Linked DNA regions of Sus scrofa. The protein of the gene in region 1 purifies or fractionates together with the protein of each later gene. This does not show direct contact. Links are inferred from orthologs where the notes say so. Each region holds a gene or a part of one and is shown in the gene's direction. Other genes may lie near its edges.

What was found.
Region 2: the proteins of HSF1 (region 1) and SMARCA4 purify together in Homo sapiens (affinity purification with western blotting; 3 studies listed by BioGRID). This does not show direct contact. The link is inferred for Sus scrofa from reciprocal best matches to the Homo sapiens genes HSF1 and SMARCA4.
Region 3: the proteins of HSF1 (region 1) and HNRNPA2B1 purify together in Homo sapiens (affinity purification with mass spectrometry; 3 studies listed by BioGRID, with this or other methods). This does not show direct contact. The link is inferred for Sus scrofa from reciprocal best matches to the Homo sapiens genes HSF1 and HNRNPA2B1.
Region 4: the proteins of HSF1 (region 1) and PRPF8 purify together in Homo sapiens (affinity purification with mass spectrometry; 3 studies listed by BioGRID). This does not show direct contact. The link is inferred for Sus scrofa from reciprocal best matches to the Homo sapiens genes HSF1 and PRPF8.
Region 5: the proteins of HSF1 (region 1) and HSPBP1 purify together in Homo sapiens (affinity purification with mass spectrometry; 5 studies listed by BioGRID and IntAct, counting the BioPlex papers as one, with this or other methods). This does not show direct contact. The link is inferred for Sus scrofa from reciprocal best matches to the Homo sapiens genes HSF1 and HSPBP1.
Region 6: the proteins of HSF1 (region 1) and PLK1 purify together in Homo sapiens (affinity purification with western blotting; 3 studies listed by BioGRID and IntAct, with this or other methods). This does not show direct contact. The link is inferred for Sus scrofa from reciprocal best matches to the Homo sapiens genes HSF1 and PLK1.
Region 7: the proteins of HSF1 (region 1) and HSP90AB1 purify together in Homo sapiens (affinity purification with western blotting; 3 studies listed by BioGRID, with this or other methods). This does not show direct contact. The link is inferred for Sus scrofa from reciprocal best matches to the Homo sapiens genes HSF1 and HSP90AB1.

What each region holds. Positions count from the first base shown.
Region 1 is NC_010446.5:483,666-487,723, reverse strand, and holds the start of HSF1 (heat shock factor protein 1), read left to right. Parts: upstream 1-1,258; 5' UTR 1,259-1,276; coding exon of another isoform or gene 1,277-1,421; coding exon 1,422-1,538; intron 1,539-4,058. Other genes in the region: ribosome biogenesis protein BOP1, read right to left, coding at 1-29, 1,022-1,111. UniProt on the Homo sapiens protein: Functions as a stress-inducible and DNA-binding transcription factor that plays a central role in the transcriptional activation of the heat shock response (HSR), leading to the expression of a large class of molecular chaperones, heat shock proteins (HSPs), that protect cells from cellular insult damage.
Region 2 is NC_010444.4:69,737,707-69,741,206, forward strand, and holds part of SMARCA4 (transcription activator BRG1), read left to right. Parts: intron 1-886; coding exon 887-1,013; intron 1,014-1,557; coding exon 1,558-1,731; intron 1,732-3,057; coding exon 3,058-3,231; intron 3,232-3,500. UniProt on the Homo sapiens protein: ATPase involved in transcriptional activation and repression of select genes by chromatin remodeling (alteration of DNA-nucleosome topology).
Region 3 is NC_010460.4:46,203,669-46,207,963, forward strand, and holds the start of HNRNPA2B1 (heterogeneous nuclear ribonucleoproteins A2/B1), read left to right. Parts: upstream 1-1,495; 5' UTR 1,496-1,947; coding exon 1,948-1,953; intron 1,954-4,295. UniProt on the Homo sapiens protein: Heterogeneous nuclear ribonucleoprotein (hnRNP) that associates with nascent pre-mRNAs, packaging them into hnRNP particles.
Region 4 is NC_010454.4:47,881,787-47,885,286, reverse strand, and holds part of PRPF8 (pre-mRNA-processing-splicing factor 8), read left to right. Parts: coding exon 1-27; intron 28-174; coding exon 175-301; intron 302-419; coding exon 420-612; intron 613-1,121; coding exon 1,122-1,309; intron 1,310-1,438; coding exon 1,439-1,677; intron 1,678-1,900; coding exon 1,901-2,047; intron 2,048-2,234; coding exon 2,235-2,445; intron 2,446-3,108; coding exon 3,109-3,225; intron 3,226-3,231; exon of another isoform or gene 3,232-3,500. UniProt on the Homo sapiens protein: Plays a role in pre-mRNA splicing as core component of precatalytic, catalytic and postcatalytic spliceosomal complexes, both of the predominant U2-type spliceosome and the minor U12-type spliceosome.
Region 5 is NC_010448.4:59,461,734-59,465,786, reverse strand, and holds the start of HSPBP1 (hsp70-binding protein 1), read left to right. Parts: upstream 1-1,253; 5' UTR 1,254-1,600; intron 1,601-1,927; exon of another isoform or gene 1,928-1,930; 5' UTR 1,931-2,023; coding exon 2,024-2,227; intron 2,228-4,053. UniProt on the Homo sapiens protein: Inhibits HSPA1A chaperone activity by changing the conformation of the ATP-binding domain of HSPA1A and interfering with ATP binding. Interferes with ubiquitination mediated by STUB1 and inhibits chaperone-assisted degradation of immature CFTR.
Region 6 is NC_010445.4:22,548,096-22,552,094, reverse strand, and holds the start of PLK1 (serine/threonine-protein kinase PLK1), read left to right. Parts: upstream 1-1,199; 5' UTR 1,200-2,657; coding exon 2,658-3,065; intron 3,066-3,779; coding exon 3,780-3,948; intron 3,949-3,999. UniProt on the Homo sapiens protein: Serine/threonine-protein kinase that performs several important functions throughout M phase of the cell cycle, including the regulation of centrosome maturation and spindle assembly, the removal of cohesins from chromosome arms, the inactivation of anaphase-promoting complex/cyclosome (APC/C) inhibitors, and the regulation of mitotic exit and cytokinesis.
Region 7 is NC_010449.5:39,246,774-39,250,979, forward strand, and holds the end of HSP90AB1 (heat shock protein HSP 90-beta), read left to right. Parts: coding exon 1-207; intron 208-881; coding exon 882-1,047; intron 1,048-1,499; coding exon 1,500-1,690; intron 1,691-1,797; coding exon 1,798-1,945; intron 1,946-2,072; coding exon 2,073-2,341; intron 2,342-2,879; coding exon 2,880-3,213; intron 3,214-3,328; coding exon 3,329-3,438; 3' UTR 3,439-3,706; downstream 3,707-4,206. UniProt on the Homo sapiens protein: Molecular chaperone that promotes the maturation, structural maintenance and proper regulation of specific target proteins involved for instance in cell cycle control and signal transduction. Undergoes a functional cycle linked to its ATPase activity.

The sequences.
Region 1 (4,058 bases):
CTGGGAGCCGGGGCGCCGGGGAGAGAGGGCTGCAAGGAGCACACTGTCGGTGACCAGCTCTGTGTGGCGCAGGACCAGAGCTGCTTCTGAGCAGACTTCTGCCCACCAGACACCACCCCGGCCCTAACTCCACCAGACAGGGTGCACGGTGGAACAAGAACCTGCAGACTCTTAGCAAGCATTCATTGGAAGGCAAAATTCTAGATTTCATTGTTTTTCAATAGTTCCTGAGTCTCTCGCCAAACTGGACAGCCTGCACGGAGCAGCTACCAAACAGCACTCAGCACACACTCTATCGTGCCTAACTAGCTACACAATTACAACGGCAAGTAAAAATGGCACAAATGTTTTGGGCACAAACACAAACAGCCGCTGATGAATACAGAGGCAAAAGCACTACAAGTGGGTGAGCATGGTGCCCAGAGCTGCCTGCCGGCCAGGGAGCACCACGAGCACTTGTCACAAGTGAAGGGGCAGCCTGATAAACCAGCAACGTGGAGTCCCAGCTGCGAGGCTCGACTGCACAAGCCTGCTATGGCTTTCTACCACCGAGATTTGATGAGATTTGATGACACCCCCACAGCGCGGCTGGGGTTCCGCTGGACAGGAAGAGCATGAGTCCAGCTAAAACGGGCCGTCCAGTGCAGCAGGCGCTGCTTTCTCATCCTCGTTTCCTCTTCTACAACGTCTAACGTGTCAGGAACATTTGGCTATACAAGCAGCTACTGCAGGCTCAAATCTTCTGCGCCCAGATGACAATTCAAAGGCCCAGGAAGACCGCTGCGCAGGACGCCGGCTCTCCTTCCTTATTCTCTCCGGCCCAGACCTTCTTCCGACCCACACAACCGCCAGCCAGCTCCCTGCCCAGGACGCCCCCGCAAGGCCGCCGGGGCGGAGGACAGGAGACCCCTCCCTCCTCGCATTCCCAGGCCCGCCGGGCGCTGGGCGGGATCGCTCCCCGGCCGGTGCCGCGGCCCAGCCCCGCCGCCCCCCCCCGCTCCCGCTCCCGCTCCCGCGTCACCTCCTCCGGCTCCCGCCCCGGCTCCAGCATCCGCTTCCCGGGCCGCGTCCCGGCCACCGCCACGCGCCGCGCGCCCTGAGGTCCCGCCATGCCGCCCGCCGGTCTGCCCTGCGCCGCCACTTCCGGCAGCGACGCGACCGCGTGGGCCTGGGGGCGGGCCCGCGGGGTCAGAGGGCGCCGGGCGGGACGGGGGCCGGTGTGCGTGCGCGCGCCGTGGGACGCGGGCGGCGCCGGCGGGAGCGCGCCCGTCGCAAGATGGCGGCGGCCATGCCAGGCCCCGGGGCCGTGTGTGCGCAGCGGGCGGCGGCGCGCGGCCCGGGCGGCAGGCGCGGCAGCGGCGCTAGCCCGGCCCTCAGCCCCTCCTCGCGGTCCCGCCTCCGCCTCTCCCACCTTGCCCGGTATGGATCTGCCCGTGGGCCCGGGCGCGGCGGGGCCCAGCAACGTCCCGGCCTTCCTGACCAAGCTCTGGACTCTCGTGAGCGACCCGGACACGGACGCGCTTATCTGCTGGAGCCCGGTGAGGGGCCGAGGGCGCCGGCCCGGGGCGGGGAGGCCGCGGCGCGGGGGCCCAGGACGGGCAGGCCCGGACCCCGCCTCGCAGGCCCGGTGTGGGGGTGGGGAGCAGGGGGTAGTGCGGGGAGAAGCGTCGCAGGCCCGCTGGAGGTCGCTCCTGTCCACGCCGCTCTCCCGCGTTGGGTAGGAAGGGCTTCTGCCTCCGTGGGCTTGCGCTTGCTGCCTGTGGGACGACTGCGGGACGCGTCTGTGCTTAGAACAGCCCCCGGCTTCGCTAGTGGACGCTGGGCCCCGGTGGCCCCAGAGTTCCAGTGGTGTGGTGGGCAGTTATTCAGGGTAAATCAAGTCTCGGCCCTGGAACTGGAGGGCGTTTCTCTAGTTCGAAAGGAGAGGGAGCGAAAACAGAAAGCACAACGTCATAAAGTTCAGGCTGGTCTCGAGCCCGGGTCCAGATCCCAGAGCTGCTTTCCCAAGAGCGACTCGTGTTTCTTGCTCTGTGCGCGACTTTATTCACGCCCTGTCTCCCGTTGCCTGGCAGCGGGCAGGTGATTTACATGGTCTGACTCCGCAGGCTGGACAACTCCAGTTTGCGGAGGTTGGACTTGGAGATGGACGTCCTGGCTGTGACGTCGAGGTGGGGCAGGTCGGAGCCACGGCTCGCGGCTGGCAGGGGGGTGGCCTAGGCCACCGTAGTCGTAGGCAGGCTCCGGGCGCCTCCAAACGTGCTTACTCTCCTGAGCGCCCAAACGCTGGATTTCTTGGACCCCACTGAGTTGTTGCCTGTCATCCTGCTGAGCCCTTGGAAAGGAAGAGCAGTCTGGGCTGAAAGGAGCCCAGAGCTGGAGGCCACGTTCTCTCGTTCCACTTGTCCCTTTGAGGAGACCAGAAACCGTGCTGCATTCCCTTGGGGACACTGTGTGTTGTCCCAGCAAATATCCATGTGGCGTTCTCCATCCCAGGCCCTGTTTCTTTAACGGTGGGAACCACCCCTTGTTCCAGGCCTTGAACTTTGCCGGCCAAATGAAATGACCCCATTTTTCTGTCTTTTTCCCTTCTCCCTCTTCTTGTCCCTTCCCCGTAACTCCCGTTTGGGGGAGGGCACCAGAGGTCCTTTGGGATGAACCTACTGTGGGGACATCCCGCCTCTCAGTCTGCTCCAGGCCAGGCGAAGCACAGCCAGCGTCAGCTTGCTCCCCAGGCCTCACGGCCTGTATTCCAGGCAAAGCCTGGAGCAGGAAAGCGGACATGGTCCAGCCCGTGATGGTCTCTACTCAAGGTGGCTGCGCCCCCAGGCATGGTCTCCCTGGGGACAAGCGGCCATGGAGCAAGAGCTTTTGATCCTCCTTAGTCTGTACACAGAGCGAGTAGGGTGTGCTTGGTGCAGGACGCAGTGGGGCTGGCCCTGAGAAAGGAGACCAGCCCCTGCCTGGGGCCGGCAGGGTGCCCACAGGACCCCCGGGCCTCTGTCTCAAAGTCCGCTTGGAGCCCTTTGCCGACTCGCAGCCTGGAGTCCTGCTGTCGGAGGCCCCGGACAGGTCTGACGCCTGTGCCCTTGGCCCTTCCCCTTTGTGCTGGAACTTTGCTCATTGTTCCACCAGGAGAAAACCTCTGCCTGTGGCCCAGGGAATGAGGGGGAGGAGGAGGTGCAGTGGTCGACTCTGTGGTCTGCGTGATGCATGACCACGGGCGGGTGCCAGCCCTGGGAGCTGGGGCCGGCCAGCGGGTCGCTGCTCCAGAGGCACGTGTTGGTTTGCCCGCCCTTCCAAAGCCTTGTCCCGTCAGATGCGCCCCGTGCGGCGCCACGGCTGAATAGGCAAGGGCTCCCGCGGGAGGGGACTTGGTGACCGGGAGTGTGGCCTTGGGAGTGCTACCACCACGCCCCCTGGGACATAATGGGAGTCAGACCCTTCTGGCCAAGACTGAGGGCCTCTTTCTCCCAGGAACCGGACCTTGCCAAGGCCACCAGCCCAGGTGGCCCAAGTGAGTGCCACACTCAGGGATCGCTTGAGAGGGGCTAGTGTCCAGGTGGAGCACGGTCTCCGTGGTCAGGTCCCCAGCTCCCTGTGAAACCCCTGGCCACTCCAAGCTGGCAAAGGACCATTTCCAGAGACCCCAGGACAGGCAGGGCCGCCCTCTCCCCTGCCCGGAGCCAGGCGGGCCCCACCAGCCTGCTGAGCTGGTCCTCCGTGCAGGAGCCCGCAGTTGCCCCCGTGCTGGCTTCGAGGGCCACTGCAGAGCCTGGAGGTTCCCGGGGTCCCTGCACCTGATGAGCGTGCGTGGCCGCCGAGCAGGCCTCTGCCTGCCGCAGCCAAACCTTTTCCACACGGAGCCTGTCGCGCCTCCCATTGCCCTGCACGAAGGTGAAGGTGGCCTTTTTACAGACGCGAAACCTGAGCCTCGGAGGTGACAGGAAACGCGAGGAAGACCCTGAAGTGCACAGGCCCTTTGCCCGCCTGCCCCACCGACCGCGCTCTGACCGCGCCGAGTGTCGAGTCTCCAGTCGGGCGTGGGGTCCAGCTCGGGC
Region 2 (3,500 bases), on another chromosome or scaffold:
CCTGTTTCTCCATTATGACTTGTTCAGGGCTAGCCTCCCTTGGTAAATAAATATTGGCTCCATCAGAGGAGGGGGCTGTGCCTTGTGCACCATAAACTCCCCAGATGCACCAGGAAAGCTTTGCCAAATGACCGTCTCCAGAGTGCATCTCCAGCTGTGCTGTGCCCTGGAGCTCCAGCCCCTATACCCAGGCACCTCCCCATCTGGACGGCTTAAAGATGGCCTGTCCAGATGGTGGTACACCCACCCACTTTCCCCTCCTGTCTCTGTTCCCATGCACCTACCATCCTGTAGCTGAGTGGACCGTGGCCCCCGTGGCCCCTTGACCCTTGCTTGCCCTTCCTCATCCCTGATGTCCGCTTGGTGAACCCTTTCAGCTTCCTTACCCCCAGCGCCTTTCACCTTGCTGTCTGGTCTATGCCTCCTCCCTGCTCTCATCCTTACCTGTGTACTGTTTCCCATACAGGTTTTTTGAAGTCTCTTTTTACAGTTAGCAACCCTGGAGGGTGCTATGAAGGGTCTCCCCACTTCACACCTAAGGACACTGAGGCTCAGGGGCTAAGTAGATTCCCAGGGCTGGGATGGAGACACTGGCTGCCTGATTCCAGAGCCTGGCTCCCACTGCTGAAATGGCAGAAGCCTGCTGCGCCCTGTCAGGTTTCCTGTTTGCCGTGGCTCCCGAGACCTCTGCAGCTGCTGTCCTGTGTGTAGTCTGTGTTGTGTGGCCTCCTTTTCTTAGCCATGTCCTGTCTTGTGACCAGTAGCAGCCTCCTTCAAGGGTTGGATTCTTCTGAGGTTCTGGCTTTAAAGAAAAGGAAGAGGTGTGTTCCTTATAAACAAGTGAGACCTCCCATCACCTGCTCTTCTTTCTATCTTTGCACTCTAGGCTGCAGGCTCGCATCGCACACCGAATTCAGGAACTTGAAAACCTTCCCGGGTCCCTGGCCGGGGATTTGCGAACCAAAGCGACCATTGAGCTCAAGGCCCTCAGGCTCCTGAACTTCCAGAGGCAGGTGGGCGCAGGCGCAGCTGATGCTTTAGGAAAAGAGCCCTTTCTGTCAATGTTACTGCTTCAGGTCTTTAAATGCACCCTGACCATTAAAAGCCTCAGTGCTCACCCACATTCATTAGGTCACTGTCCCCCCCCTTCCTCTGCACATCCTGCCCAGTGGAGGAACTGCTCAGTGAAGGCACAGGCTGAATAGACGTGGGTCTTCCTTAAGGCGGCAGTGACCAGCTTGAAGCAGGGAACTTAGATGGGTCTATTGCTGAGGGTCCTTTCCTTTTGAACAACCAATAAGAAATTTTGTTTGATTGTGGTTGAGGGAGGGTAGAACTGGAGACCTGAGGTGTGAGAGTGTTCTCTGCCGGGTGTCCAGAAGCAGCCATCTCCCAACCCGAGGGCCTCACCATGTGTCCTCCCCGTGCACACATTTGTGCTCATGGGTCCTTCTGGGAGCGGGAGCCTTCTGCCCAGCTTGCCATGTGGAATTGTGCATGTCATTCAGATGTCGCGGAGTTGTACCCGTTACCAGTTTCTCCTCTTCCTTCCTGAAGCTGCGGCAGGAGGTGGTAGTGTGCATGCGGAGGGACACAGCCCTCGAGACGGCCCTCAATGCCAAGGCCTACAAGCGTAGCAAGCGGCAGTCCCTGCGCGAGGCCCGCATCACCGAGAAGCTGGAGAAGCAGCAAAAGATTGAGCAGGAGCGAAAGCGCCGGCAGAAGCACCAGGTAGGTCCCTGCAGCTGCGCGTTAGCCTGCCCACATGTCCAGGGTGTCAGCTTGTAAGCTGCTGAGCCTTGGTTTATCTGTCAACACACTGTCTGTGTCTCTTTTCCGTTTGTTATGTCAGTATTCTGAGCATTAAAAATACATCAGGGGACAAAGCCAAATAGTAGAATCAGATGCGTGTATAACATGTTGGAAGTTAATAGGGTGTAAGGAAGCATGAAGTGAGGCTAGAGCGTGATGGAGGATGGTCCGTCTGGGAGGTCCTCCCTGAGCAGGTGAGCTCTGAGGCCCAAGGGAGGGAGCCACCAGATGTGTGTGTTTCCAGATAGAGGGGAAGGTGCAAAGGCCCTGGGGCTGGTTGTGTCCCACTGCTCTGTGAAAAGCAAGGATCCAGTGTAGTCAGTGGAGTGAGCAAGGAGGCGAGCAGGAGGTGGGGAGAAGGGGGAGGTGATGGGCAGAGCATGCAAGGCTTCCATGGGGCGAGGGGATGACTTGGGCTTTCACTCTGAATGAGATGAGAGCCCTGGAGGGTCCTAAGCAGAGGGAGTGATCTGGCAGAGGTTGTTACAACATCAGTAAAGGAAACCAGAATCTCTCCTCAAATAGGATTTGGGTTGATTTTGTTGATATATGTTTTATGAAGTTTTCTCCTATCAGTATCTATTACTGATACGGTTTATGATAACAAAAAAGTCAGTGCTCAGTGTTAGCCTCTGTTAACATTTTGGTATATATCATTCCAATCTTCTTTTTTCTTACATATAGTAATCACAAGTTAAGCAGCCACTTTTTAAAACAACATACACATGTTGACCTGTTTAGAGTATTGTTGAAGCATGATTTTAGTGTCTACATTGTAGTCCTTCTCAGTATGTCCAGCATCCAGTAATTTATGAAACCATTTCCTACTGGGGGACATGCAGTATATTTTCAGCTTTTCAATATTAAAAATAACATTGGGATAGACTTTCTTATACTTGAATTTGGGGGCCAGTCTCTGCTCTTTTCCTTGAAATAAATCCCTAGCAGTGGAGTGATTTGGCTGGCAGGCAGTTGTGTTTGGAAGCACTTGGCAGACAGTGCCAGGTGGTCCCAGCCCAGTGGAAGCCCTGTGGACTACCCCATCTACTGTGCACGAGGGAAGGCCCTTCACGCCACAGGCCGGCATGGAGTTTTATCCCGACGCAGAGAATGCTGGACTTCATGGGCATAGGGTCGATGTGTTGTTTAGATTGTGCCCTCTGGGTTTTCACCAAGCTACCTTTGATGTTCGATGCAGCGACTCCTGTCCTGTAGTCAGTCTGCTCTATTGTGTGCTTCCTACAGGAATACCTCAACAGCATTCTTCAGCATGCCAAGGATTTCAAAGAATATCACAGATCAGTCACAGGCAAAATCCAGAAACTCACAAAGGCGGTGGCCACTTACCACGCCAACACAGAGCGGGAACAGAAGAAGGAAAACGAAAGAATCGAGAAGGAGAGAATGCGGAGGCTCATGGTACAATTGGCCTTTGTGACCCGGGTTCCTTTGTGTGTGTGTCTCTCTCTCACAAGCATGGGGATTGACTGCCCAGGATTTCGCTGGGGTATTTTGCTGCTCAGAGTTAGAAGTGGGACAGAGGAAGAGAGGGCTTGGGTTTGGGAGTCCGAAGGACCTGTCACCAGACCTTTGCCGGGCCACTCCAGCCGTCAGTGACCACAGGTTTGCTGGATGCTCTGTGCTCTCTGGAAATTGGAGGTGGCAGCCCCTTCTGATGGAAGAGCCAC
Region 3 (4,295 bases), on another chromosome or scaffold:
CAAATCACCTCTTTCCGGACGTTCAGCCGCTGCCCTTAAGCCCCAGCCCCACCCGGCTTAATAAGGCCTTCGAGCCCGGCCCCCGCCCCCCACACGCGAGCGCGGGCCGCATGGTCAGCGCATCCGCGGGGAGAAACAAAGGCCGCGGCGCGGGGGCTCAAGGGCACTGCGCCACGGGGCCCGCGCCTCCCCGACCCGAAGGCGGCCTCGTAACGGAGCGCCCGCCGCTGCCTCCGGACTTCGGGCCGCACGGATGCGGGAGAATGCACAGCCCTCCCTGGAGGCCCGAGTCGCCGACCGAGTCCGGGAGAGGGAGGAGGACCCCTCATGTAGCTCCGGGATGGGGGAGGGGAGGAAGAAACGCGCTTTGTCTACAAATAAGGCAGCTGTCGCCACAGTTCTCAACCTCATAACGAGCAGTCTCGTCCCCTCGACCAACTAGAGACACCGGCCCAGCACCAGGCCCACCGCGGGGTCTCCATTCGCCTGTTTCCTTCCCGCCAGCTCCGACTCGGGGTCGGGCCGGGAAGGATGGGAAGCGGGGAACTGGGGGGAGGGTCTCTGGGGCGCAAGTGGTATCTGAAGCAAGACCACGGAGTGAAAGGTAGGGGAAAATAAAGACACCGACTTCACCGCCTCAGAGCTGCTCCGGGTCCCAGGTCTGCGGCGTCCTCGGCCCTGCGCGCCTCTAGCTCCAGCCACATCCGAGGGGGAGGGGGCTGGGGAGCTGCGCGCGGGGCCGCGCCGCTGGGGGTGGGGGGGGTGCGGGGTGGCACCGCCCACGCCAGGCGGCCGCTAGGGGCGGGGGTGAGCGCGCGCCCCGCGGGGGGGAGGGGCCGCGCGCCGCGCTTTGCCCGCCGGGAGCCCGAGCCCGAGCCCGAGCCGAAGGGTGGGTGGGGGAAGGAGGGGGTGGTGACACCGGCACTCACCGTTCGGGGCGTAGCGGCTGGTGGTCCCCAAAGGGGAGGGAAAGAGAGGGAGGAGCGGGGACTGTGACCGGAGTCTCCTCGGCGGAGGCGTTCCTGCTTTGCAGCAGCTGCACTGGCGCCAAAACAGGACTCCGCCCACTTCCTAGTCCCTGGGGTTGGGTGCCTCCAAATGCTGGTGGTGGGTGTAAAACTTGGGTGGGAGGACTCAATTAGGAACTAAGAGTTAGATTACCCTGTCCAAAGACCTCCTGAACCCGAGAGGTTGACCCCAAAAGCGTTGTCCAAGGTTAGGTAGGTGAGGCGTGAAATGTAACTTGTTGACCACAAGTCGCTTCGGGTGTTTCCGGAAGAGGCCGAGTCTGTCCTCAATTCAGGGAGGAGGAGGGAAAGCGCTGTAGAGAAGGCTACAAAGATTTTTTTTTTTAGAGACGGGGGGCGGTGGGTATTGGGATTATCAAAGCGTTGCTCTAAGGACCACCTTCCGGGTTGAGGGGCTGGACCTGAAAGCTGAGGATTAAGCTCCTCCCCACAGTGTTAATTTCAAACTGCGCGACCGTTTCTCACCTGCCCTGCGCTAAAGCTGGGCGGGGGGCGGGGACTGGACTTAATTCCGAGAGAGAAATACGCAGGGCTCGAGCCTTCCGCAATTCACAGAGCCCTTTTACGCAAGTGACGTCAAGCACCACTGTTGGCTGCGAGGAGGGAGGGGCACGTACTTGGCGCAAGGAGGTCGTAGAGCGTTCCCGCCATTGGCGGCGGTTAGGGCGTTTACGCAACGGCCTGACGTAGGGCAGGACGCGTTAGTCGGGGGGAAGGTTCTAGAAAAGCGGCGGCAGCGGCTCTAGCGGCAGTAGCAGCAGCGCCGGGTCCCGAGTGGAGGTGCTCTTAGCGGTGTTGTTTCTCGAGCAGCGGCAGTTCTCACTACAGCGCCAGGACGAGTCCGGTTCGTGTTCGTCCGCGGAGATCTCTCTCATCTCGCTCGGCTGCGGGAAATCGGGCTGAAGCGACTGAGTCCGCGATGGAGGTAACGGGTTTGAAATCAATGAGTTGTTGGAAAGGGCATGGCGAGGCCGTTGGCGCCTTATTGGAAGTCGGCCACCCGCCTCCGTGGGAGAGCGGCAGCGAAATTGGGCCACTTCAGAAGCGGTTGGTCTCGGGGTACTTTTGAAGGGGGGTCGTTAGCGGAGGCCTGATCGTTCCGCACCTTCCCCACCCTCAGGCTCCCGGCGCCATTTCCCTTTGCTGGGGGTGGGGGATGGGGAACTTCCACATGGCGGACGCAAGCCGACTTCGGTGGAAGTGGGGCGCGGAGGCGGGAATTCTTACTCCCTTTTTACAGCACGCTGGTTTGGGGACCCTGGCGTCCGCGCGTTGGAGCGTTTCGGCGGGCTGCGGGTCCTCGCGGGCGAGGCTGCGGCTTCCCCTCCCCCCCTCGCGGGAACCGGATTTGGCGGCCGCCATTTTCGTTTCTCCTCTTTCTCGCAGCGTTTTCCTTGTAACTCTCTAAATTCAGCTAGTTTGAGTCTTTTATCAAAGAGTAGAGGTGGTTCGCCGGTTTTTTCTCCTTTTCGGGCCGTTTTCATGCCGTTTCGAGGTGGATTCTGAGGGTTTGGGAGCCTGGATCTTTAAAGTCCTGCGCACCTCATTAGAGGCTCGCTGCCTTCCCCTCGATGAAATGGCGCCATTGCGTTCAGGCGCCGCACCGCAGGGCGGGGGGAGGGGCGGCGGTCGCTCGGCTTCGGAGGTAAAACGATCTAGGGTGTCGGGCCCGGGTTTGAGGCGAGCCATACGTAGTACAAAGAAAACGTTCTGTTTTTCAGCCCTTGTTCCTTTGCGTAGCGGTTTTAGCTGGGTTTGCGGCGATTAGGAAGGCGGTTACATGGCAGGAAGCTTTAGAAATGAAAAACCGAAATTCGGAGCCATCAGGGTCCTGTAGGTTATGCGGGAGGTCGTGGGGAAGGTGGTCTTCGGGGGTTGGGGGGGGGCGGTGTGCCGAAGGTTCCGAATCCTTTTAATTTCCTGAAGGCTTCCCTTATGAGGAATTGTAGAAATTACTCGGCTTTTAAGTAAGATTTTTACTGGGAAATTTTTTACGTGGTAAGCTAGAAATTAAGATGAAAGTGCAATAAAAATGATTTTAGTTGTGCTCTGCTTAAAACGTGGCTCAGCCCTTCAGTACGTGTATTGCTGTATACCGAACTGTTTTAGGCTGGGCTACTATGTATTTGAACTTTGTCACTTGCTTTTCTCATTTATGTTTGCAATCATGGTTGATAACATTGATAAGCTTAAGGTCTGAAGCGAAGGGGGTCTACCTGGGTATTTTCTTTGACCCTAAGCACGCTTATAAAATAACTTTGTTTGTAATCAATAGTGGACAGCGGGTAAGTTTGGAAATGAGGTAAGTAATGAGTTTTTCCCTTTTGTTAGTGATATGTAAAAAATTTGTAGATGTGTTTTTAATTAGATTTATTTGGGTTTAAGGAGCATTTATTGAAAATACTTGGAATAAATAAAGAATCCGAATATCAATATGCCAAGTAACCATTATAACAGACGGTTCTTAAAGTGTCTCAAGAGCTAGTTTGATAATTTCTTTATAAATTTTTCAGAATCCTGAAAGGTTAATTCTACAGGAAAAAAACCGAATGTTTATTAGTATCATGCATGGATGGAGAGAGGAACCTCTTTAGAAATGTGGGTTGAGGGTGTAGTACGATTTGCTAGGAATAAAATACCTTGCTGTGTCAGAAAGTACTTTTGACTGTTTCTTTTTCATTATACATTCTGGACATTGTAACTTCGTTTCTGAGTATTTATAGTTTTTTAATTTAACCAACTGAAAACAGTATAATGACCCAATCTTAACTGATAATCCATAATACAGAGCTTTTAATGCAAAGTATTTGCTTGCTTGTTTGAGATTTCAAGCCTAGGCTCTGTTTCTTTTCCCAATGAAAATTCGAGGTGTTATGCTGTGTTGTTTGCTAGAAGCCTAAGTTAAACATCGTGAAGTGTAAAATAAATGGTAGTGCTACGCAACTACTGGATACAGTGTTCATTTAAATATCTTTATGGTTTTTGAAAAGTGGAATGATTGCAGTCTTGTTTCTACTTTTTAATAGCTCAGTAATAGTCCAGATTCTTTCTCTGTTAGTACTTTTAGGAACAGACAGACACTATTAAATCATTCTGTCTTGGTCAGAAGAGAGAATCTTAAAGATATGTTGGTGTATATGTTGAATACTTAAAGCTTTTTTTCTCTAGTGGAGACTTGGTATATGGGGAAAGAACTGTCTTTAACCAGGTTTTGGGGGGGTAAAAATTGAGTTTCATTAGAATCACCACTAGAGGGAGCAATGAAGG
Region 4 (3,500 bases), on another chromosome or scaffold:
CTTGGAGCGGCTCAAGGAAGCTTACAGGTGAGGGGTAGACAGGTTCCTATGGGGAGGTGACAGGGAAGAATGACAGCATCATCAAGAGTCCAAAGAAAGAAGGCTTAGCATCAGTCCTTTCTGGGGTTGGCTTCCTCTTGATTTTCCCATTCACCTTTTCTTTTGCCTTGTCAGTGTGAAGTCCCGGTTAAACCAGTCTCAGAGGGAAGAGCTGGGTCTGATCGAGCAAGCTTATGACAACCCCCATGAGGCGTTGTCCCGCATCAAGCGTCACCTTCTCACACAGAGAGCCTTCAAAGAAGTGAGTGAGATGCCCTCGACATTTTGTTCTGGCTGCGTGATTCATCCCTGGCACCCAGTGTGGCAGGTTGTCTCAGGTGGTTGGTGGGTTGGTGTGAGCCAGCTTCTGTGTCTCGCAGGTAGGCATTGAGTTCATGGATCTCTATAGCCACCTGGTGCCAGTGTATGATGTGGAGCCCCTGGAGAAAATCACTGATGCCTACCTGGACCAGTACCTCTGGTACGAAGCTGACAAGCGCCGCCTTTTCCCGCCCTGGATCAAGCCTGCTGACACAGAACCGCCGCCTCTGCTTGTTTACAAGTGGTGCCAAGGTAAAACTTTTCTGGGATCGCACCTGAGAACGGGAGGCGCATTGAGTTCTGCTATCCAGGCAGCAGAATTAGCTTACTTTCTTGCTGCATAGTAGCAAGGAAATGGTATTGATGCTAAACTGAGCAAAGCTGACTCTCCTGGCAAGCCAGCGAATGAATGGAGTGGCATGCGATCGGATTACCGTAGGCACTGGTCCTGAAAGGGAATTTCTTTCTTTCTTTTTTTTTTTTTAAAGGGCTGCACTTGCGGCATATGGAAGTTCCCAGGCTAGGGGTCGAATCGGAGCTACAGCTGCCAGCCTACACCACAGCAACGCAGGATCAGAACCACGTCTGTGATGTACACCACAGCTAACAGCAACGCCAGTTCCTTAACCCACTGAACAGGGCCAGGGATCGAATCCACAGCCTCACGGTTACTAGTTGGATTTGTTTCTGTTTTGCCACAACGGGAACTCCCTGAAAGGGAATTTCTAACCTGCTGGAGCCCTGTCTTGCCCCCTCCTCAGGCATCAATAACCTGCAGGACGTGTGGGAGACAAGCGAGGGCGAGTGCAACGTCATGCTGGAGTCACGATTTGAGAAGATGTATGAGAAGATCGACCTGACCCTGCTGAACAGGCTGCTGCGCCTCATCGTAGACCACAACATCGCTGACTACATGACTGCCAAGAACAACGTCGTCATCAACTACAAGGTGTGTTCCGGGGTCGGGGTGGGGGTGTCCAGCCTGCCGAGCTGGGATTTGCTGAGGTGGGAAAGGAAGAGGCTGGGCCCCGGAGAAGCCTGGCACGCTGCCGTGGTTGAGTGTCCTCTTTCTTTCTAGGACATGAACCATACAAATTCGTATGGGATCATCAGAGGCCTGCAGTTTGCCTCGTTCATCGTGCAGTACTATGGCCTGGTGATGGATTTGCTTGTGTTGGGCTTGCACCGGGCCAGTGAGATGGCTGGGCCCCCTCAGATGCCAAACGACTTTCTCAGTTTCCAAGACATAGCTACTGAGGCTGCCCACCCCATCCGTCTCTTCTGCAGATACATCGATCGTATCCATATTTTTTTCAGGTGAGGGCTTGCCTGGTTTCTTATCCTTGCAGGGCACTGAGGCATGTGCCCAGCCTCTGGAAGTGGCTGTCCTGCCTTAGTTGGCTTGCTGCTGGGTTGGGGCTCTAAAATGGAAGGAAGTCTTCTGAGTGGGAAGGGGCGGGGTGGCCTCCCTCTAGGGAACTGTAGGTCGCATGAGATCCCAGTGTGCTTGGGCCTCAGCAGGGCGCATTGTCTGGTGCAGGTTCACGGCAGATGAGGCTCGGGACCTAATCCAGCGTTACCTGACGGAGCATCCTGACCCCAACAATGAGAACATCGTCGGCTACAATAACAAGAAGTGCTGGCCCCGAGATGCCCGCATGCGCCTCATGAAGCATGATGTTAACTTGTGAGTCTAAGTTGGGGCTCTGGGAGCGAGAAGGATGTCAGCCTGAGGGACCCGGAGGACAATTAGAGGGACTTTAGGAGGTGGTCTTCTGGGTAGGAGGATGTACTCTGTTGGGCTGTCGTCAGTCTGGCCTTTGCAGGGAAGTGCCTTCCAGGGGACTGGTGTGACCCATGTTCTCTGTGGGCAGGGGTCGGGCAGTGTTCTGGGACATCAAGAACCGTCTGCCACGCTCAGTGACTACAGTTCAGTGGGAGAACAGCTTCGTGTCGGTGTACAGTAAGGACAACCCCAACCTGCTGTTCAACATGTGCGGTTTTGAGTGCCGCATCCTGCCAAAATGCCGCACCAGCTATGAGGAGTTCACCCACAAGGACGGGGTCTGGAACCTACAGAATGAGGTAGGGCCTGGGCCAGGGGGCGGGGGAGCCGGGAGGAGCATTACCACCTCCCGGTAGGTGGGAGTGAGGAACTGCACACACTTTTTCCTTTTTTTTTTTTCATTTTTGGCTGCCCCATCACACATGGAGTTCCCAGGCCAGGGATCAGCTCTTATCCATAGTTGTGATCTGTAGCGCTGCTGTGGCAACACTGGATCCTTTAACCTACCGTACTGGGCTGGAGATTGAATCTGTGTCCTGGCACTGCAGAGATGCCGCTGGTCCTGTTGCACCACAGTGGGAACTCCCAAATACCTTTCCAGTGTCAGTCGGATGAGCCTGGTTGGGGGAGTAAGGGCTTAGTGATGGTCAGCATTGGTTCTTGGCGTTCCCACTGTGACTCTGCCGGTTAGAGACCTGACGTGGTCTCTCTGAGGATGCGGATTTGATTCCTGGCCTTGATCAGTGACTTAAGGATCCAGTGTTGAGCTGTGGTGTAGGTTGCAGATGAGGCTTCAGTCTGGCGTTGCTGTGGCTGTGGTGTAGGCCAGAAGCTGCAGCTCTGTTTCGACCCCTAGCCTAGGAACTTCCATATGCCATGGGTGTACCCCAAAAAGACAAAACAAAAAATTTCTTCTTCCTGTGGCAGTTCCAGAGATAGTTAACCTTGACCTTGTGGTTTAGGTTACTAAGGAGCGGACAGCTCAGTGTTTCCTGCGTGTGGATGATGAGTCAATGCAGCGCTTCCACAACCGTGTGCGTCAAATTCTGATGGCCTCTGGGTCCACCACCTTCACCAAGGTACGTAGTGCAGTCATGTTCTCTGTCCGTCTCACATCCCGTTTAGATCCTTGTGCTTTGCTCTCCTTTCTTGCCAGCTGTGCTCAGTGTAGTCTCCGTGCTTTATGTACAGCAGCAATTTGTTAACTGTGTGTGCTTTAAGTTTTTGCAAAGTTTTAAAAATAGCCTTGCTTTTAATGCTGTCTTCACGTTCCACCAATGGTACACATGAGTGTCTGGACTGATGCTCTCAGGAACATCAGTCACGCCAAAAAGAGAGGGAAATGCTAGGTTTT
Region 5 (4,053 bases), on another chromosome or scaffold:
TAATTTCTAGAACATGCAAATATGTTGCCTTACATATTCATAGCAAAAGGGACGTGGCAGGTGTGACTGAGTTGAAAGTCTTAGATGGGAGAGCATCCTGGTTCCTTGGGTGGGTCCTACATGTCATCCCAAGAGTTCTTATCATGGGGAGGCAGGAGGATCAGAGGCAGAGGAGGAGATGGGACAGGGAAAGAAACAAGCTGAAATGCTGCGACCACAATCCAAGGAATGTGGGCAGCCTCTAAAAGCTGGAAAAAGCAAGGAAACAGAGGGTCCCTGGAGCCCCCAGGAGGAACACAATCCCCCTGATACCTTGGTTTTTAACTCAGTGAGACTCATTTGGGGCTTCTGACCTCCAGAACTGTAAGCTAATAAATCTGCGTTGTTGTAAGCCACCAAGTTTTTGGTAATTTGTTAAGAGCAACAATAGGAAAGGGATACAATAAAGTACACAGGGGCCTAGACCCACGTCAGATAGCTAGGCTTCTCAGTGCTACAAACCACAACAAACAACACACACACACAGCTTGTACACTGGTCTTTCCATCTCTGTCCAAAAGAGCACCTGGCATGTTGCAGACCTAGCCAAGGGCTCAATATACCTGTGACCGTAGGTCACAAGATAAGTACAGCCTTTCCTCGAGGGGAAGGGTCTCTTACGGAAGACCACAACTAGGATTCGCTTAAGATCACCCCAAAGGAAACACCTCCAAAGGCCAGGCACATTCCCAGACCTGAGCCCCAAATCTGGTGCAGGGAGGCCTCAAGCGGCCTAAACCACCTTGCGTGGGCATTTACTTCAGGCTTCAACGATCCCCTCCTCTGCACCTGGGCAGGACCCAGAGAAGATTCCACCAGGCAGATGTTGGGTAATAAGCACCGGCACAGGTAGTGCTGCAGTGTGGAGAATGCCTCCTTTGACGAATGGGGAAACTGAGGCCAGGAGACGGGTGGGGTTGGGTGCCTGGGTCAGGTTATTAGTGGTGCGACCCCAGGGCTCCAGTAAAAGACGTGGTGGGGTCCTAGATGGAAGAGAAAAGCCCTTGCTGATGCGGGGCACGCTCAGCGAGAATGGGGCGGGGCCAAGAAGTGGGCGGGGCTTGACGGGGGAACGGCCGGCAAACCGGCACGGGGGCGGGGCTCACCTGGGAGAGGCCGAAAGGCCTGGAACAGGGGCGGAGCCTGAAGCGGGCGGAGAGGGACCAGTTTAGAACTCGGGCTGGGTGTGGACGCGTTTGGGCCTAGGCAGAGCCAGGCCGGGGGGCGGGGCCTACACTAGGGCAGGGGCTTGCAATGAGCATGGGGAGGTGGGGCTCGCTAAGGGCGGGATCCGGGCCGGGGGCGGGCCTTAGGCCAGAGCGGGAGCACGAGGGGCGCGGCCTAGGTGAGGGGCTGGGCGGAGCGCAGTATCCCGCCAGTTAGGAAGGACTTCGGAGCTGGGCGAGGCCTCCTCACGCCTAGTTAAGGCCCTAAGTGGGGTGTCTGCGCCGGGAACTTCCGGGCGAGATTTGCGTATTTCCTGTCAATATGGCGGCGCCCATTGTAGTCAGGTGCGGGCGACTCTGTCTTTAGTAGCGGCGGCGACACGAGGCCCGGGGAGGTGAGGTCCGCCCCGCTCTGGCTCCCCTCTTTCGGAGAAGAGGGAGGAGACTTGTTGCCAAGAAAACCAAAGGGAGGCCTGGTTGCTATGAGGGCTGGGCAGTGGGGTTGCTAAGAGACGGGAACGCCTGCGGTGAAGATGGGGGAGGGGGTTGCTAGAGAGAGTGGGTGGGGCCTGTTGCTAGGGACGAAGGAGGGGCTTGTGACTTTGGGGAAGGGTCTCGCCGGTGTGAAGGAAGGAATGGGGGCTGTGGTTAAAGGGCATGTGGACAGAGTGGTTTGGGGTCGCGGAGGGCCGCCGAGCTCCCCTAAAACGCCACCTTCTCAGCAGACCTCCAGGAGTCGACCGGTCAGGAAGCCCGCGCTACCTCAGCGGTGACCATCCCCTACCCCAGCACATTCGTCCCTTCTTCGCAAACAGCCCATGGCGGACCAAGGCTCTGGGGGCAGCCGCCTTCCCCTGGCGCTGCCCCCAGCCTCTCAGGGTTGCTCGTCAGGGGGCAGCGGCTCCTCTGCTGGGGGCTCGGGCAACCCCCCACCCCCGCGAAACCTCCAAGGTCTGCTGCAGATGGCCATCACGGCGGGCTCTGAAGAGCCAGACCCACCTCCAGAACCCATGAGTGAGGAGGTAAAGGGGGGGGACCCAAGAAGCCGGGGTGAGGGGTGTGCGGACCGAGATATCTTGGGGAGGGAGTCCCGAGAGGGTCGGGAGGCCAGGTGTGAAGGCAGAGTAGCCTCCTTGTGCTTGATGGGGTTATTGTAGACTGAAGGTCTGATCCCTGGATCCCTGCACTGTGCAGGGAGGCAGAGTAGCCTCGTGGTAAAAAGAAGAGGCAAGGGTTCCGCAGACAGACCTGGATTCAGCATTTTATGGCTGTGTGACCTTGGGTATGTCCCTTCATCTTTCTGAGCCCCAAGTTCTTTATTTGCAAGTTGATGCTGACAGTTAGAATACCAGTGGTACTTCACTGAGTAGTTCCGAAGTTCCAGTTGAAGCAGGGCTGCATGCAGTGCCAGGCACATAGGCAGTGCTCCTGGAGGCAGCAGGATAGTCTCATTAAGAGCACAGGTTGTGGGAGTTCCTGCTGTGGTGAGGTGGGTTAAGAATCTGACTGCAGCAGCTCAGGTCGCTGGTTAAAGGATCTGGTGTTGCCACAGGCATAGGTCACAGCTGTGGCCATGATTCAGTTCCAGGCCTGGGACTTCCATATGCTGCGAGTACCACCATTAAAAAACCAAACCAAACCAAAGAACAGAACACAGGCTCTGTGGACAGTACGCTTAGGTTTGACTTAAGGCTCTGTGGATGGCTGACTGTGTGACCTTGGGCAAGTCACACCTTTCTGTGCCCCCATTTTCTCATCTGTGAAGGGGGGGTGACAATAATACTTACCTTGGAGGGTTGTTTTGGAGACTAATAGCTGTATTTGTCATACATATTATTTAGTTGTTGCTGACAGTTACAGTGTACGAGACATTGTGCTCATCCAGGTACATCCACGATGTCAATGAATCCTTAGGACTGTGTGGTAGGAAACAGGCACAGAAAGATTAACATCTTGCCCAGTTGATCCAGAACTGTGACTACAGAGCCTTCGTATGAGCACTTAACATGCAGTCTGGCCAAAAAAAAAAAAAAGTCAGTGGCCCATTTCTTAGCTCTTATCTCATTTAACCTGCTAACAGCATTTGATTGCTAACCCCTCTCCTTGATCTCACTCTCTGTCTCTTTTTGGTTTTTTTTTGGCTGCATCTGTGGCATGTGACAGTTTCTGGGCCAGGGATTGGAGGAACCTGAGCCACAGCAGTGACAACACCAGATCCTTAACCCACTGAGCCACCAGGAAACTCCACGATCTCTTTCTTCCTTATGCTACTAGGACATTGAGATGTACTGTGTTTTTTTGTTTTTTTTTTTTTCTTTTTTTTTGTTTTTGTTTTTGTCTTTTTGTCTTTTCAGGGCCACACCCGTGGCACATGGAGGTGCCCAGGCTAGGGGTCTCAGAGCTGTAGCCACCAGCCTATGCCAGAGCCACAGCAATGCTGTGTCCGAGCCGTGTCTGCGACCTACACCACAGCTCACGGCAATGCCGGATCCTTAACCCACGGAGCGAGACCAGGGATCGAACCCGCAACCTCATGGTTTCTAGTCGGATTCATTTTCTCTGCGCCATGACGGCAACTCCGAGGTGTATGGGTTTTCATCCCACCCTTTGGCCCTTCTTCCCCATCCTCTGTTAGCGTGTCCTCACTCCCCAGCCTCTTTTCGCTGGAGCTCTCACAGGACTCTCATTTACGCTTACTTCCTGTGTGACCTCCTGTCGGATTGAGGCTTTACTCTGATGACTCTCAAGTGTGTATCTCCACACCAGTGGTTCTCTCCTGAAAGTGGTTTTAACCACATTTAGCAATGTGTGGAGACATTCTTGGTTGTCGTCCATTGGGTAGGGGAAG
Region 6 (3,999 bases), on another chromosome or scaffold:
CTAATGATTATAATTTTGCTCCAAGGAACACTTGGCCAAGGGCCGAGGGGGGTGGACTGTGCAGAAGAGAGCTACTAAAGCAGGCCTGAGACTGCTCTCCTTAGAAAGACTTGCTCCGTGGTTGGCCCTTGGCTGGCATTTCAGTTCTTGGATTTCAGGAAGGTTCTCACCATTTCCTTAATGATAAAGAGTCGCTCACTGGGCCTACACTGTGCAAACAATGTGGTTTATGCTGTATACCTGCGTTCCCTCCAGGAATCTGGAATTTGGGTGTATGCTAGCAGAGGGCGCCCCCAGAAAAGCCCTAGGAGCTGAGTCTCTAATAAGCTTTCCTGGTAGATGACAGTTCATGCATGTCATCACACTCATTGCTGGAGGAATCAAGTGTGTCCTGTGTGACTCCACTGGGAGAAGACTGTGGGAAGGTGGGGCCTGGTTGCCTCTGGATTTTGTCCCATGCGCTTCTTCCCTTTTGATTTCGCTTCGTAGCCTTTCGCTGCAATAAACCTTAGCCGTCTGTGAGTAGGACTCTATGCTGAGCCCTGGGAATCTCTTAGTGAATCATCAAACTGGGGGTGGTCTTGGGGAGCCCCAACACAGAGCAAAGAGAGACTTCTGGCGTGTTGGTAGTATTCTCTTTCTCAGTCTGGGTGCTGTTTACATGGGGTGTGTTCAGTTTGTGAAAATTCACTGAGCTGTACAGTTAAGATATGTATACTTTTCTGGCAGAGGGAGTCAACTTTATAAAAAGATAAAATGGATATTACACATCACAGGGGTTAAAAAAGAATAACTTAATTAAAAAAACTTATTTAGTAAACATTTTATTTTTTTAAAAGTTTTTTATGATAGTTGATTTACCGTGTTCTGTCAATTTCTGCTGTACAGTGACCCAGTTATACATATGCATATTCTTTTTTTCATATTATTTTCTATCATGTTCTATGACAAGGGATTGTATAGAGTTCCCTGTGCTATACAGCAGGACCTCATTGCTTATCCATTCTAAATGTAATAGTTTATTTAGCAAACTTTTTTTTTTTTTTGCTTTTTTGCTTTTTAGGGCTGCACCTGTGGTACATGGAAGTTCCCAGGCTAGGGGTCAAATGGGAACTGCAGCCACTGGCCTACGCCATAGCCACGTGGGATCTGAGCCAGATGTGCAACCTACACCACAGTTCACAGCAATCTTTAACTCACTGAGAGAGGCCAGAGATCCAATCTGGGTCCTCATGGATGCTAGTCAGGTTCATAACCCACCGAGCCACAATGGAAGCTCCCTATTCAGCAAACATTTTAATCACTCCTTTTTATTAGGCACTATGCTGGGAGCTTGGGACATGGGGTAGGAATGATGTCATCATGCCACTTTGTTTATTGGGAGTCAGGTAAAGAGATACTTGTAATTCGGTTGATTTTTGCTGAGTTCTAGCACAGACATCATAGGATGTCTAACTATTACCAAAGACTACTAACCTGGGTAATCGGCTATTGCAGGGTTTCCGCTCAAACATCTACAGAAGCCAGACAGGCAAATGGGCAAAGGGGTAGCTGGGAACTGTGGCAAACTGGAAAGGTATGTAGGCATAGAGTTGCCACAGCAAGTAGTTTTCCTTAAGAAAAAGCCACAAAACTGATTTTTTTATGTGCGCTCTCTGTATTTTTGAACCTGTAAATGGATCCAAAAATTTAACAGCGGGAGACCAAACAAAACACCTCTGCAGACCAAATTTGGCCTTGGTCTACCAGTTTGCCAGGCATTCCGCCAACCAGCCACACAGTCCCTCTTACCAAACAATTGAAGGTCCACTATTTTAGGCGCTGGGAGACAGCAGTGAGCCAGCCAGCCGACTTTCTTGCAGAATAGCGGGGTGGGGGCTCTGGTTCTGTGCTTCTCAAACTTCCCTAAGTGTAGGACTCACTGGGAGGCCTGCGGTGAGGCCTGAAGCTTTGCCTTTCTAACAAGCTCCCAGGTGGTGATAATGCTGGTGGTTCCTGCACCATACTTTGAGTAGCCTTGAGCTGTAACCCAGAGGCTCGGGAGCAGCTGTTATTTGAAGGAGGGAAGTAGGGGGTTTGTCTTGAAGGTCACATTTGCCTGGCAAGCATCCTCTTTTTACTTAGATTTTAGTTTACTGCAGGGACTTGGAAGAGAGTTGATGACGTCGAAGGCGGGTGTTAAGGCTCTCCCAGCTACCTCTCGGCGCTGCCGGGTCTCCGTTCTCAGTTTATAAGCTCGAAGGCGGGGCAGGGGTGAAGGAAGGTGGTGGGAAAAACTTCCTGGGGGAGGTGCACGTGGACTGCCCGACCTTCCCCAGCCGCCGAGAAAGGGAGAAACCCCGAACTCCCCCTCTCCTGGGACTGGGTCTCAGCATCCCCACGCCGGGTCTGGTTTCCCAGGCATCCCACGTGTCCGCGAGTCCCTGTCAATCAAGCTTCTCCTCCCCGGGCTGGGCACGGGTTTAAAGGAGGCTGCTGCGCAGAGAGCTCCCATAGTGCCGCGCGGCGGGCGGGTTTGGATTTTAAATCCCCGCGGCCAATCAGTAGCGCGTAGGCTTTTGTAACGTTCCCGGCGCCGCGTTTGAATTCGAGGAGGGGCAGAGCGGTGCCAAGCCTCGGCCCAGACCCTGCTAGGTCCGCTGAGCAACTCCGGGGACATGAGTGCGGCGGCAACTACAGGGAAGCTGGCGCGGGCACCGGCTGACCCAGGAAAAGCCGGGGGCCCCGGAGTTGCAGCTCCCGGGGCCCCGGCGGCCGCTCCGCCGGCGAAAGAGATCCCGGAGGTCCTAGTGGACCCGCGCAGCCGGCGGCGCTATCTCCGCGGGCGCTTTCTGGGGAAGGGCGGCTTTGCCAAGTGCTTCGAGATCTCGGACGCGGACACGAAGGAGGTGTTCGCCGGCAAGATCGTGCCGAAGTCGCTGCTGCTCAAGCCGCACCAGAAGGAGAAGATGTCCATGGAGATATCCATTCACCGCAGCCTTGCCCACCAGCACGTCGTCGGCTTCCACGGCTTTTTCGAGGACAACGACTTCGTGTTCGTGGTGCTGGAGCTCTGCCGCCGGAGAGTGAGTGTCGCTGCTGGGAAACTGGAGCTGCCTGCAGGCTGGGGTTGGGGCGTCCGGACCCAGCTGCTGGGGAGGGGACCCCCCGGGACTCGGAGCTGCTGGAGAGGAGGTGCTGGGTGGGAATCTCGAGCTGGAAGTGGAGAAGGTCTCGAGTAGAGAGGGGGCTTGGCACTTGGGGCTGCTAGGGGAGGGGGGTTCGGGTTTAGTGGAGCCCGGGTCGCGTTGCCTCTAGGGAAGGCGGCTCAAGGACGCTAGGAGTTGGGCGGAGTTGGGGAGGCGCGGGTCGCGGGAGAGCCCTGCTAATGGTCTTCCGGAGTTGCTAGGTACGGGGTGCTCTGGACCTTCCGGAGTGGGGTTGGGTCAGGCACAGGGTAGTTGGAGCCAGACTTGGGGGCTTCCGGGGAGGAGAGGGGTCAGAAAAGGGATCTCTTGCTGCGGAAGAGGCCTGGCGAGGGGGTGGCGGGGGGGGGGGGGGGGCATACGGGGTACTCTTGAACTTCCTGAAGGGTTGAGAGAGGAGTCCCAGGTAAGGGAGCTGGTGGGAGAGAGGGCGCTCTGAACCGTTGTGGCCTGGCTTAGGGGAGAGTGGAGAGCATAGCTGTCCTGGAGAAGGACTGCTGGGTAGGGTCCTAGGCAGCTTTCACCTAATGATACTGCTTCCCTGCCTTGGGCCTGAGTACCCACTGCCCGTTCCTCCTTCCTCCCCTCGCCAAGTCTCTCCTGGAGCTGCACAAGCGGAGGAAAGCACTCACCGAGCCCGAGGCCCGCTACTATCTGCGGCAGATCGTCCTCGGCTGCCAGTACCTGCACCGAAACCGTGTTATTCACAGAGACCTCAAGCTGGGCAACCTCTTCCTGAACGAGGATCTGGAGGTGAAAATAGGTGAGGAGCTGGGCCTGCAAGGGCGTTTGACATTGCAGGAAGTGGGAATGA
Region 7 (4,206 bases), on another chromosome or scaffold:
GAAGATGTGGGCTCAGATGAGGAGGATGATAGTGGCAAAGATAAGAAAAAGAAGACAAAAAAGATCAAGGAGAAGTATATTGATCAGGAAGAACTGAACAAGACCAAGCCCATCTGGACCAGGAACCCTGATGACATCACCCAGGAGGAATATGGAGAGTTCTACAAAAGCCTGACCAATGACTGGGAAGATCACCTGGCAGTCAAGGTAAGAAGCCTTGTTTGTTGGCGCAATAGGAAGAGTTGGTAATGGGCAAGTGGCACTTGCCCAACTGATTGGGAACTGGGAATGCCATGAGTTCACCTACTGATGGACCCTTCCAGGGCAGGGGAATGACATCTCCAGGGACTTCACTGTGTCTCTGGCAGCTTTGCCCATCTAGCATTCTGAATTGGCTATTTCCTCGTTAACACAAGGATTATGTACAGGTTGCACTATGTTGGATTCATTTAGGGCATTATTAGGGCTTCTCAACAGCTACCATAGAGTCTAGTCTATTCCTGGTGCTTAAGGGGGAAGGTCTTTTTTTCCAAATAGTTTTTTTTTTTTTTAAATAACTTAATTTTTTTGTTTTTTAAGGGCCGCACCCACGGCATATGGAGGTTCCCAGCCTAGGAGTCTAATCAGAGCTACAGCTGCCAGCCTACACCACAGCAACCCTAGATCCAAGCCACATCTGTGACCTATACCACAGCTCATGGCAACCCTCGGTCCTCGACCCACTGAGCAAGGCCAGGGATTGAACATGCGACCTTAGGGTTTCCTCATCAAATTCATTTCCGCTGCGCCACGACGGGAACTCCCCAAATAGTTTAATTTGGTGTTGGGACAAAAGCCACTCTTAAAATACACAGTTGGCTTATCTTGGATTTCTCTCACAGCACTTCTCTGTAGAAGGTCAGTTGGAATTCAGAGCATTGCTGTTCATCCCCCGTCGGGCTCCTTTTGACCTCTTTGAGAACAAAAAGAAAAAGAACAACATCAAACTTTACGTTCGCCGTGTGTTCATCATGGACAGCTGCGATGAGCTGATACCAGAGTACCTCAGTGAGTACCTTCTCTGCCTAATGTAGTTGGTCTCAGCTTTCTCAAAGGAACTGAAGCCTTGATTTTTTTTTTTTTTTTTTTTTTTTTTTTTCTTCTGGGCCACACCTGCAGGATATGGAGAGGTTCCCAGGCTAGGGGTCAAATCAGAGCTATAACTGCTAGCCCACACCACAGCCATAGTAACGCAGGGTCCGAGCTGAGTCTGCGACCTACACCACAGCTTACAGTAACGCCAGATCCTTAACCAACTGAGCGAGGCCAGCGATTGAACCTGCAACCTCATGGTTCCTAGTCAGATTCATTTCCACTGCGCCATGATGGGGAACTCTGATGAAGCCTTTGTTCTGAAGCTAAGGGTCCTCTGCCGTGTAACTGGTGCAGCTGGATGGCGGTGTATACTTTTTTGTTTTTGTAGGGGGGGTGTCTAACTGAGCATCCATGTTTGATTTCAGACTTCATCCGCGGTGTGGTTGACTCTGAAGACCTTCCCCTGAACATCTCCCGAGAAATGCTCCAGCAGAGCAAGATTTTGAAGGTCATTCGTAAAAACATTGTTAAGAAGTGCCTGGAGCTCTTCTCTGAGCTGGCAGAAGACAAGGAGAACTACAAGAAATTCTACGAGGCTTTCTCAAAAAATCTAAAGGTAAGCAGACAGCAAATGCTTGCTTTTTTAATGATGAAGATGGCTGTTTTTCATTCATGTAGGGGATAATTATTTTCTAGTAAGACTTTCCCTTTCCACCCTTAAAGCTTGGAATCCATGAGGACTCCACTAATCGGCGGCGCCTTTCTGAGCTGCTGCGCTACCATACCTCCCAGTCTGGCGATGAGATGACTTCTCTCTCAGAGTACGTCTCACGCATGAAGGAGACCCAGAAGTCCATCTACTATATCACTGGTGAGTGGAACGTAGGGCCTGACCACAAAGCCTCTCAGGTGTTAGGAGAAGGGGAGGACACAGGGATACCTGGGAGCTGGCTGGCTGGGGCATTCTGATCCTTGAGTCACATTTAATAATCCTATAGGTGAGAGCAAGGAGCAGGTTGCCAACTCTGCGTTTGTGGAGCGTGTGCGGAAGCGGGGTTTCGAGGTGGTGTACATGACAGAGCCCATCGACGAGTACTGTGTGCAACAGCTCAAGGAGTTTGATGGGAAGAGCCTGGTCTCAGTTACCAAGGAGGGCCTGGAGCTGCCTGAGGATGAGGAGGAGAAGAAAAAGATGGAGGAGAGCAAGGCCAAGTTTGAGAACCTCTGCAAACTCATGAAAGAGATCTTGGATAAGAAAGTAGAGAAGGTAAGCAGTGAACGGAGTAGTAAGTGCTTTCAGGGCTTTGCCCTCAGTTTCTGGTTGCTACACGATTAGTGGTTTGGCGCAGCCTTATTTGTTTAGAGCCATCCTATTTTATTCTCTTAACTGGGCAGATTTTTTTTTTCCCTCTCTTCAGGCCCCGCCCACAGCATACAAAAGTTCCCAGGCTAGGGGTCAAATAAGAGCTACAGCTGCTGGCCTATGCCACAGCAACTTTGGATCCAAGCCATGTCTGCGACCTACACCGCAGCTCACAGCAACACCAGATCCTTTCACCCACTGAGCAAGGCCAGGGTTTGAACCCAAATCCTCATGGACACCAGTCGAGTTTGTTCCCGCTGGTCCACAATGGGAACTTTTATTTTTGTTTTTTGTGTTCTTTTACTGGGAAAGTTTGTCATTGCTCTAAGACTTGGCAAAGATGAGGCTTTATTTTCCCAAGGATAGAACTTCAAAATACCGTTTTTTGCCTTGAGGTAGTTTTGATTTAAGGTAAACCAAAGATTTTTGTGGTTGTCCACAGGTGACCATCTCCAACAGGCTTGTGTCTTCACCCTGTTGCATTGTGACCAGCACCTATGGCTGGACAGCCAACATGGAGCGCATCATGAAAGCTCAGGCACTTCGGGACAACTCGACCATGGGCTACATGATGGCCAAAAAGCACCTGGAGATCAACCCTGACCACCCCATTGTGGAGACGCTGCGACAGAAGGCAGAGGCGGACAAGAATGACAAGGCTGTCAAGGACCTAGTGGTGCTGCTGTTTGAAACGGCACTGCTGTCTTCTGGCTTCTCGCTGGAAGATCCCCAGACCCATTCCAACCGCATCTACCGCATGATCAAGCTTGGCCTGGGTAAGTACCCTTGCGCAGTAGGTGTGGCGAGGAGTTGGAGAATTAGCCTGGTGGACACAGATTTGATGCTTTTGGGGCCAGATCTCAAGTGGCATTCTTTCTTCCCTCTTTCTAGGCATTGATGAGGACGAAGTGACAGCAGAGGAGCCCAGTGCTGCTGTTCCTGATGAGATCCCCCCGCTCGAGGGTGATGAGGATGCATCTCGCATGGAAGAAGTAGATTAGGAGTTGCTACCTGCAAACTTTGTTCCCTCTGTATAGTGTCCCCATTGGCTCCCCTGGCAGCAGCCCCCAGTGGCCCTAGCCCACCTGGTCTCCTCTGCTGATGTCTAGTGGTTTTATTTGTTTTTCTGTCTAAGGCAGGCTACAGGGGCCGCAAGCCCTAATAACCCTTCCCACATTTGACACTGGGTTTGGGTGTCGTGTACTGTGCTCGTTTATTTTGTTCTGAGATTAAAGTATGCAAAATAAAGAAGATGCAGTTTTATACAGTTCTGCGCTCTCGTAAGTATATACAACACTGCTTTTGGAGTTTCCCTGGCTTCTCACTCCCTAGTCTTGAGTACAGTCACATGGTACATGGGGGACATGGTTACTGCTAACTATGTGACAAGCGGTAGTTTTGAGCTGCCATCTGTACAACACTCAGTCCCCTTCCTAAAGGATATATAGATGGCCTTCCACTCACAACAATTTTTTGACTTTACTATGGTAGCATGAAAGCACACATGCAGTAGAAATTTTTTTTTTAAGGCTGCACCCCACAGCATGTGGAGGTTCCCAGGCTAGGGGGTCTAATCAGAGCTACACACATTGGCCTTTGCCACAGCCACCCCAGATCCATTGAGCGAGGCCAGGGATTGAGTCTGCAACCTCATGGTTCTTAGTCAGATTCTTTTCCACTGCACCATGATGGGAACTCAGGAGAAACTACTTTTCAGCTTTGATCTTTTCCTGGGCTGACAGTATGGCTAGCTACGAGAGGCGCAAGGG